2 linked regions of the Schizosaccharomyces pombe genome follow. The gene in region 2 interacts genetically with the main gene of each other region. Each region holds a gene or a part of one and is shown on either strand. Other genes may lie near its edges. The genes, in order: SPOM_SPBC1778.03C and adn2.

Evidence for each region.
Region 1: mutations in adn2 (region 2) and SPOM_SPBC1778.03C together harm fitness more than expected from each alone (negative genetic interaction), as found in Schizosaccharomyces pombe (one large-scale study listed by BioGRID).

Annotation. Positions count from the first base shown.
Region 1 is NC_003423.3:3,100,143-3,104,255, forward strand, and holds SPOM_SPBC1778.03C (NADH pyrophosphatase), read right to left. Parts: upstream 2,222-4,113; 5' UTR 2,024-2,221; coding exon 1,992-2,023; intron 1,812-1,991; coding exon 713-1,811; 3' UTR 501-712; downstream 1-500. Other genes in the region: telomere-binding protein Rap1, read left to right, coding at 1-434; Spo4-Spo6 kinase complex regulatory subunit Spo6, read left to right, coding at 3,142-3,606, 3,658-3,790, 3,837-4,113. UniProt on the Schizosaccharomyces pombe protein: mRNA decapping enzyme that specifically removes the nicotinamide adenine dinucleotide (NAD) cap from a subset of mRNAs by hydrolyzing the diphosphate linkage to produce nicotinamide mononucleotide (NMN) and 5' monophosphate mRNA.
Region 2 is NC_003423.3:4,399,623-4,404,449, forward strand, and holds adn2 (transcription factor), read right to left. Parts: upstream 3,248-4,827; 5' UTR 3,226-3,247; coding exon 994-3,225; 3' UTR 761-993; downstream 1-760. Other genes in the region: TIM23 translocase complex subunit Tim21, read left to right, coding at 1-369. UniProt on the Schizosaccharomyces pombe protein: Probable transcriptional regulator involved in cell adhesion.

The sequences.
Region 1 (4,113 bases), 1.3 Mb from region 2:
CAGAAAGCTTTGGTGCCACAAAAGTCGCTCACACTTCGTTAGAAGGAAATGCAGCTTCTCATAAGAAAGTGGAAGAGAACATGCAGCAACCGGTTACCAAAAAGCAGAAAAAATACAGAATGGTTAACGAAGAAGCTCATACCGGTCCGACTATAATCATACCGTCAGATAATAATGAAAAAGTAACTACATTACCTGCAGGTCATGTACCCAGTGAAGAGAAAGGAAAATTTATTAACTTAGCAATGCATGAATTACAAAATGAAGTTTCTATTTTAAGGTCGTCAGTAAATCACCGTGAGGTTGATGAAGCGATCGACAATATTTTAAGGTACACAAATTCAACAGAACAACAATTCCTTGAAGCTATGGAATCTACGGGTGGAAGAGTACGAATTGCCATTGCTAAACTACTTTCAAAACAAACTTCTTAAATTGCCGAGCATCTCTGCCCAAATTCTATTTCTCTAAAGAGACCTAAACTTGTACAATATTACGAATCTTTTTATGCATAATTCATGATTTTATTATATAAATATTTTATATTGAACTTAACAAAATTCTTTTTGTTTCTGGATTTAGTAGGTGTGAATATTTCAATTCTGATGAGCCGATTATATTTGCTTTGATGTAGCAGAGTAAATCAACCTTTTTAGAAAATTCACTTATTATCTTTGGAAAAGTAGCTAAACTTCCATTTTTATAACTTCCTTTACATTTTAACTTGTGAATTTGTCCAATCATCATATGCAAATGCTTGGATCAAATTTCTAGCGATGGATAGTTTAGGGGGAAATAAAATTGGAGCAGGTCCATCCTTGGCATCCCATTCCAAAGAACGAAGAACTTCCTCTCGGGAAAAAAAACGCACATCCTCTAATTCTAAGTCTTTATCTCTCTGGATTTTAGCATTTTTTCGGGCAATTCCAAAACAAGCCAACATTAAACTTTGAGGAAAAGGCCAGGGTTGACTAGCATAATATAAAACCTTTTCTACGTCAACTCCAGATTCTTCATAGGTTTCACGGACAACGGCCTCTTCCAAGCTTTCCCCTGGCTCCAGAAAGCCTGCCAGACATGCATACAGTCCTTTCGGATGGCGCAAAGCTCTTCCAAGTAAAATGTGTTGCATATCATGAGACAATATAACCATTATTACGCATGGATCTGTCCGAGGATACTGGTAATTATTAATACCCTTCTTTGAAGGACAGTTTGAGTCGTCGTTCAATAAAACGTCACTGCAGACCAATTTTGTACCGCCCATAGTAGGTATGTTGCGTTTTCCACAACCCGGGCAAAATCTGTACCTTGAAATCCAGTCAAGAATAGAGCGTGCAAAAGCACAAGCACCAGAATCCGATGCGCTCAATTGATATTGTTCGGTGAAGATAGAGCGAAGATTAACGAAAGTACCTCCATTGTCTCGTATCGATTGCTGAAGTTCATCGATGCCAGTAATGTCAATGGCAAAAACGTTGTGTTGACTCCAATTATCTGTTGGTCCATTTCTTTCTTCGTTGCCCATGTAGACAAGGACAGGTAAACTTTCTCCTTTGGAAAATCGTTCAGCAATTTGTTTATCAGTGTGCTCAAAAGGGGAGAACGTGAAATATTTGGATATCTGAGGATATGAAAGAGTGACCAATTTATCGTCCTTTACGAGTAGAGCCGGATTTAAGTCACAAAAAGGAAGAAAGCGAGTGGTATGATCATAAAAGGCTTTATTTAAAAATTCTCGATTAGACCTAAGAAACGAAAGCCTATTTAATGAGCTTCCTGCGAAGAACTGAGAAGGGGCAGTCGGAAGCCTTGAAAAACGTTAGAAAACTCATTTTTTTAAGATTATTATATCAAAAATTGATTTTATGTGTTACATTGCACATGTATTAGCAAGGGTTGAGCGGTACGTTCCATGAGCATGCAAAACAGATGATATGAATTATCAAGTTTGAAGTAGCTTTAAATAGAACTAACAATTAACTACTTACTCAAAATGTCGAGCTATTTTGAAACCCTGCATACTTAAACTTGATTTCTGAAAGACGAAAAGAATATTAAACCTAACCAATTATTAAAACAGAATTTTGCAAATCTCTCGAATAAATTCTACAATTGTTTAACTGTTAAAATACGCAGAATAGAAAATGAAAGATGGAAATGAAGAACAGAGAGGACCAGAAGGAGGGTTATTTATGCACCAGCGTAATGGTAATGGTACAATTTATGAGTGAACTAAAAGTCGAACCCAAGTTGCAAGTAAAAATCTAATAAAATGATGTAAACGAACTCTCAGCTGGGAAAACCTTAAAGTTCCAAATGAAAAGGGATACTGAATATGAAAAAGTCTCCGTTAAATACGATTGCCATACAACTTCTCAAATGCCATGAAGTATTTAACGAATTTCGTTAAAAAAATAATTGTAAACATATTGGTATGTGTTTTCGCAATTATTAACGCCTTGGTGAGTCATAAAAGTATCATTGGAATAAAAATAGATTTTGTTTGTTTGTTTTTTTGGTTAATTCCTAAATGGACAGTTACGGGAATTGCTTTGAGTTGTTTTCGTTATGTTGACGATTAATTAACTACAAAGTTCTCACGTGTCAGTGTAACAATGTTACCTAGACTTTTAGGTACCTATTTATTTAAAATTGGGTCTATGTTTATTTTACAAGCTTGAATCAAGTAAATATATATTTTCTAATCATATGAATACTAAAAAAATTTTTACAAAGGAACCCAGCAAAACTATCAAATGGAGCCAAAGTAGCTTATTTATTTAGTATGAATGTGATACGCAACGCGACGTGTCGCGCGTTTAATTTACTGGCTTAATACGCGAGGCGAGGCTTTTGTTTACAAACAATACTAGGTGAATATGAGAAAATATTTGAGTAAACAAACAAAATCAAATTGTATATATATCCAGGATACTCCTCCAAACTTCCACAGAAAAAAAGATAGGTTTATCTTTTTACTTCTAGAGGAAAACCTGCATCTTGCTTACCGAGGCCATTGCTGAATATTAAAGCCAGACATAAGTAGGATTAACCAACAGGTGAATTCATCAGCCTCCCAAGGAATATATATACATACTTCTTCTTCCTAAAAATCTTTCCGAGTCAATCCGGAAGAGTATGGACTTCTATTCAGTGAAGTCTCAGCCGTTTGTTCGATCTCCTCTAGTCGACCAAAATCCCAGTATACAAAATATAAACGAAGAAGTAAAGAGAGATATTCAAAATCCTCTTAGCTATAAAACAGAAACTTCGGACAAAGAACTGTGTCAAACTGCAGCTTGCGCAACTTCATGCTCCGACTGGTACCCTCAACAACAAACGCACATGCCTCATCAAAATGCCTTTGACTCTGCTAAAGCCACAGCAAAGATGGCTCTCCCACCCACTGCTTTTTCAAACTACTGTGTAAAACCTTCCCTAACGCGAAACAAGGATATACCAAGAACCAGCATTCGAGTTTCCAAACTTCGTTACTGGCAAAGAGATTATCGATTGGCGTTTCCCAACTTTATATTTTACTTTGACAACGTTGATGAGGAAATCAAGCGTCGTGTTACGCAAAAGATTAATAATCTTGGAGCCGTAAGTAGTTCATGCAAGAACTTGCGCAGATCAAAACTAACACATATATAGAAAGTAGCAACATTATTTACTTTTGAAGTTACACATTTCATTACCACCAGGACTACCGACCCAGAAATGTGCCAGCCGAATGATGTACTTTACCTTTCGAAAACTGCCAATATGAAAATTTGGCTCCTGGACAGTAAGTCTTCTTAATATATCAGTGTAACCTTCGCTAACTTTCTTAGAACTATTGAACAGAATCCTCTTTACATTACTCAACTCTGATAGCCTGGTTAATACCTCAGCTTCGTGCTTGCAATCTCTCCTAGACGGTGAAAAAGTGTATGGTACATCAGACAAAGACTTTTACGTGCCAAGCAAAAACGTCGAGTACTTTCGTGAATACTTCCTCTGCATTAGAGATTTATCACAATACTATAAGCCAATTGCAGTACGAGAATGGGAGAAAACATTGGATTCTGGAGAGATCTTATGGCCAAGTCTTGCTATAACCGCACAAGG
Region 2 (4,827 bases):
GGTGATGAAGCTTTTGAACTTTTAAAGGCTAATGAAGAATGTCGATATGTTTTTGGAGATCACATGAAAGCCCTAGGTGAAGCCACGCATCCTCTTCGTCGAACTCATGGTATATTGACTAGTCGTGTGTGGGATCACCATGGTGTAGAACATCTAGTACTACAATTTCACTTAATCGGTAATGAGAGAAAAGGGCACGTATTTGGAAGACTTGTAAATGTTCAAGGTGACTATAAATGGGAATATCTTTTCGTTGATGTTGCAAATTACGGAAAAATCATAATTTTTGATCATACCAATTCTGTACGACAACAACATAAGAATTTTGGTTTATGGGGAAGCTTAAAAAATATTACATGGGGAAATTAGAATTTCCGAATGATAAACGCACGACGGAAAGGTATAGCTGTTAATTTCAACCGAAAAGGAAATCATTGAATTATTTCTCGATTTTAATGGTTTGATTAATGGTTTTTCGCAGAGAATTAATTTTCTAATTTACGAATTAATTTACAGGCGATGTTAATGATTTTTATCAGAATTAGCACACTTAGTTATGCAGTATTTGGATGTATATTGCAAAAAATAAAAAAATCGTCGACACTTTATTACTAATTAAGCGATCGAACCTCATGATTTGTTGTTTAATTAGTTAGTATAAAGAAGCGAATTTGTACGAGGGGCCTTTTCGCAGGGGCTGATTAATCGCCAATCTAATGTACTACCTAAATGTGTTTAGTTATAAAAAATATAAGAATGATTCAAAGCACATGAAATAATTTTGATTATTAGATATAAAGTACAAGATGTAGGCCGGTATTTATAACCGAGTACACTAATCCATATCCAACTAGCAATTAATTATATATTAAATTTTTATAATGACAAAACGCAACGCATTCAAAAAAGATGAAAAAATCTGGTATATAATTTCCAAATAAACAAATTAAAAAAGAAGAAAAACAAGGATAAAATACTTAAGTTTCGACAAAATTAAGCAGCAGTCGAGTCTTCATTATCCGGCAAATTAAACAATCCAAACCATAAATCGTCACCAGTACTAGTATCTTTTAAAAATTTGTCGAAGTCAAAATCATTTAGAAGAGCCGCATCGATGTCTGTTGAATTTCCAACATCCAATAATTGATTGTCTGAAGATTTAGTGGCAACTGTGGTAGACTCCGTAGGTGCAGAAGGAGTCGCGGAAGTATCAGGATTTGATTTTCCTGACTGATTTTGATTATCCAACTCAGAATCGGATTTGTGAACATTTGCTCCTTGCGATGGTTCCAAAGCAGGACCTACACTTGTTGCTTCATTTGTTGATGATTCGGGGTTGGTAGTGTTGACGGTCGGTGCTGGAGTTGGAGCATTTGAATTAGCAGAAGAAGGCTTTTGTTTTGATCGAACGTCCAATGGAGAACTGGCATTTGGAGTGGGTCGCGATGAATGAGTTTGTTGTAATTGCCAATTCCCCATAACGTCCATTCCATTGTCCGCATTATTTGTGTCAGAGGTAGATGAGTTTTCAATCAGATTAGAATAGTTTGATGGATGATCACCTGATGTACGTAAAGGAAGACCATTTTGTAACATAGGCATATTTGACTCATTGATGCCATTAAGATTTTCAGTAGTATTACTATTTTTTGTTGAGACCTTTACAGGAGATGTGGTGGCTTCTGTAGGAGTGTCAGTAGATTTAGGAGTAGTGCTTTTGGTTTTTGCAACACTAGATTCAGTAATAGTCTGAGAAAGCGGTCTATCAGGCGATGCCGATGTGTACCCTTTTCTTTCTTTTTCCTGACTAACTAACAGAAGCCTCTTTTTATTCTGTTGTTCTAGTAGCTTTAACTCCTCCATATAATTCTTGAGAGCTGGGTTTAGACGACTGGGGTTTGCGTTTCCGTTAAAATTATATAGCATATTTTGAGAGTAAGGAGAATTAGAGAATCCGTATTGGTTCATTTGATTTCCAGAAAATTGCCCAGTTGAAGGCTGTTGAGCAGGTTTAGGTTTGTCTAAAGATTTCTGTTGTTGAGGAAGGGTAGAAGAAGGTACTGCTCCTCCTTGTTTGAGATGTGGATTTCTGTTTGAAGCAAAATTTATCTCGTGAAGCAATGGTTGAGCAGAGTTTTGAACAACAGGGTATTGTCCTCCGTTAAGACCAGTGGTATCGTACAACGGATTCGACTGGGGAACGGAACCATTAGGAGTTGCCGGTAAACTAGGGCGAAATTGAGCATTAGATGGAGCACCTTCTGTTTTGGGTGAAGAAGGGATGGATCGAAAATCGGAAATTGGACCTTGCTGCTTAGGTGGATGTGTATCGTGAGTTGTAGGTTGAGAAGTCGTGTTTTGCATTTGTGGGGTAGAACCACTTTGTGGAGTTTTCTTTTGCTGGTGCTGCTTTTGTTGTTGTTGCACAGATTGTAGCTGCCTGTAGTGTAATTGTTTTAATTGTTGAAGTTGAGCAGCGGTCGGGGGAAACGTTTCACGGCTTTGATTATTTAGCATAGCTTGCCGCATTAAGTGCTGATTTCTATCGTTCAATCCACCTGCCCCTTGATGAAACTGAGATGAGTCAATCTGCTGACCCATTGCGTTGGCAGGATCATGGGGAAATGAGGCGTTTGCATAAGGGTGAGAAGTATTTCCAGTGTGTAGAGAGTTTTTTTGAATTTCTTGCAAATTTAAACGAGATTTCTTCCTAAGATTGCTAATATGAGACATATACGCCTTTGCCGGCTCAGATCCTTGACCCCGACGAGCATTGTAAATATCCCAAAAAACATTCCACCACTCGATTAAAAAACCACCAGCTGAATCGATAGGCAAAATAGGAGGTGGCGGCGGAGCAGAAGAAGAAGAAAAGGAATCTAAATTACCGTTATTTACATTCATGTTTTCATCCGAAGATTCATTATTACTTATACCTTCATGCTTTACAGCAACAGGAGACATTCTTTTGTGACGCTTAGCTAAGGAATTGGTTTCTTCTTGACTTCTGACGAGCGTTTGTACTTGTGCTTCACGGCCAAAAGCTCGGGCTGCCTCACAATAATCCTTCTTGATTAAATAATCATATATGTACGAATTCAGTAAGGATTGTGTGGTCCTATCGGCATTATTTACGTGCGGTTGTTTTTGATCTTTTTGTAAATCATGTTTCTGTCCTTGCTGGCTTGGCAATCCGACGCCGGACCTTAAACCTGGATCAGCCATAAACTAGAAATGTGCAGAAGTTAGGTGTTGCGAACGAGAATATGGATCTACAACGATGCACGCTGGCGATATATAATTTTAAAGATCTGCGCACGCTATACTACCGCAACATTTTGTATATCATATTTTCATTTTAGTTTTCTATCAATTACTGAAAATCATAAAATCATAAATGTTATGTTTGAATTTAGTTACAGAGTAAATCAAAACCCTTGAAGAGTAAAACTCTATAGAGGTTTCTTATTTTCCAAGGCAAGTCATGCTCTAAAAACATTTTTAATAATAGTTATTATGTATATATTCGGATTTGAATTATCTAAAATGGGCTATATTAAAATATGGTTCTAAGATGATATACTTTCAATGAATCAACCAGTGGTAATTTCAGATTTTATATATGCAAACTTACTAACTGAAAACTGTGGAATTAAGGGATAGGTGGGTTTAGAAAGTAAATGTAAATTGATATTTCTTCATCCGTAAAAACATCATAATGAATTAAGAATACTATTAGCCGCAGTTTTTTGTAAGAATGCTGTAATTATGTAGATAGTATCAATTATTCTTGTTTTATTTACCTTGCCTTGGAAAATATACATATCTACAGCTTTTTACATAAGTTAGCGATGTAAATACTAAGCACTGGAACTCATATTATCATTTTCTAAAGTTGTTAGAAATGCTTTTAGTAGTAAAGATTTTGGAATGTGTTCACTATTCGAAAACTAGTTGCAAATTGTGTTTTTCAGTAAATCAAGCAAGATGCTTAATTTTGGCACTACAAGTTTTTAGAAAGTACTTACATGAAGATTGGAAGCTTTGCGTAAATTTGTTTAGTTTCACATATTCCACATTTTAGTTTTCTATAATTCATTTTTTATCAAGTAGAAAATTTAGTTTCTCTCTTTCATTGCAAATGCTATAATCCGGCTTTAGAACTACTATCTACTGGATAATCCTTTATTATTGCCATGCTAGATTCCCTGTAGAATTATGGATTTTGATATTAATCAAAAATTAATTTCTTAAAGTACAAATATATTCGACGGGAGAAAGTTTATGAAATTTTGTATGCGGTTATACCTAATCAGTGATTATCTCGTTGTTTATATTTCAATTTTTGAGGCGACTAGAATAGACAATTCAGCCCAGAAAACCGTACATACAATTTTTAAGTAGAAAAATTTGTTAATAACTATACCCAAAAAAAATGTGATTACGCATCTTTAGCTAATGGCAAAATGCTTCTCAAGTGTTTTTGATGGTGGTAAAATCGAGATAGACTAGATATTAAAGCCGCTCGTTAAATATTATAAGACATTAATTGATACTAGTGTTTTTCCTCAAGCACAAACAAGGTCTGTATATAGTATACGGAATAGATATTTCTTACAATTTATTTATACTGTTTAAACGAATTTTAAATGGCTTCCATGAGAAGGGTAAATTTTTAGGGATTTTGCCTGTAATCAAAATGTTGTTCATATAAATTCTACTTTAAGTCCTGTTTATAGGAATGAGCTCATCATTCCTCGTTATTTGAACACCAAAGAAAAGTCCGATTTATTGGTATTTTGGTTGTGACAGAAACCCCTGCGACGA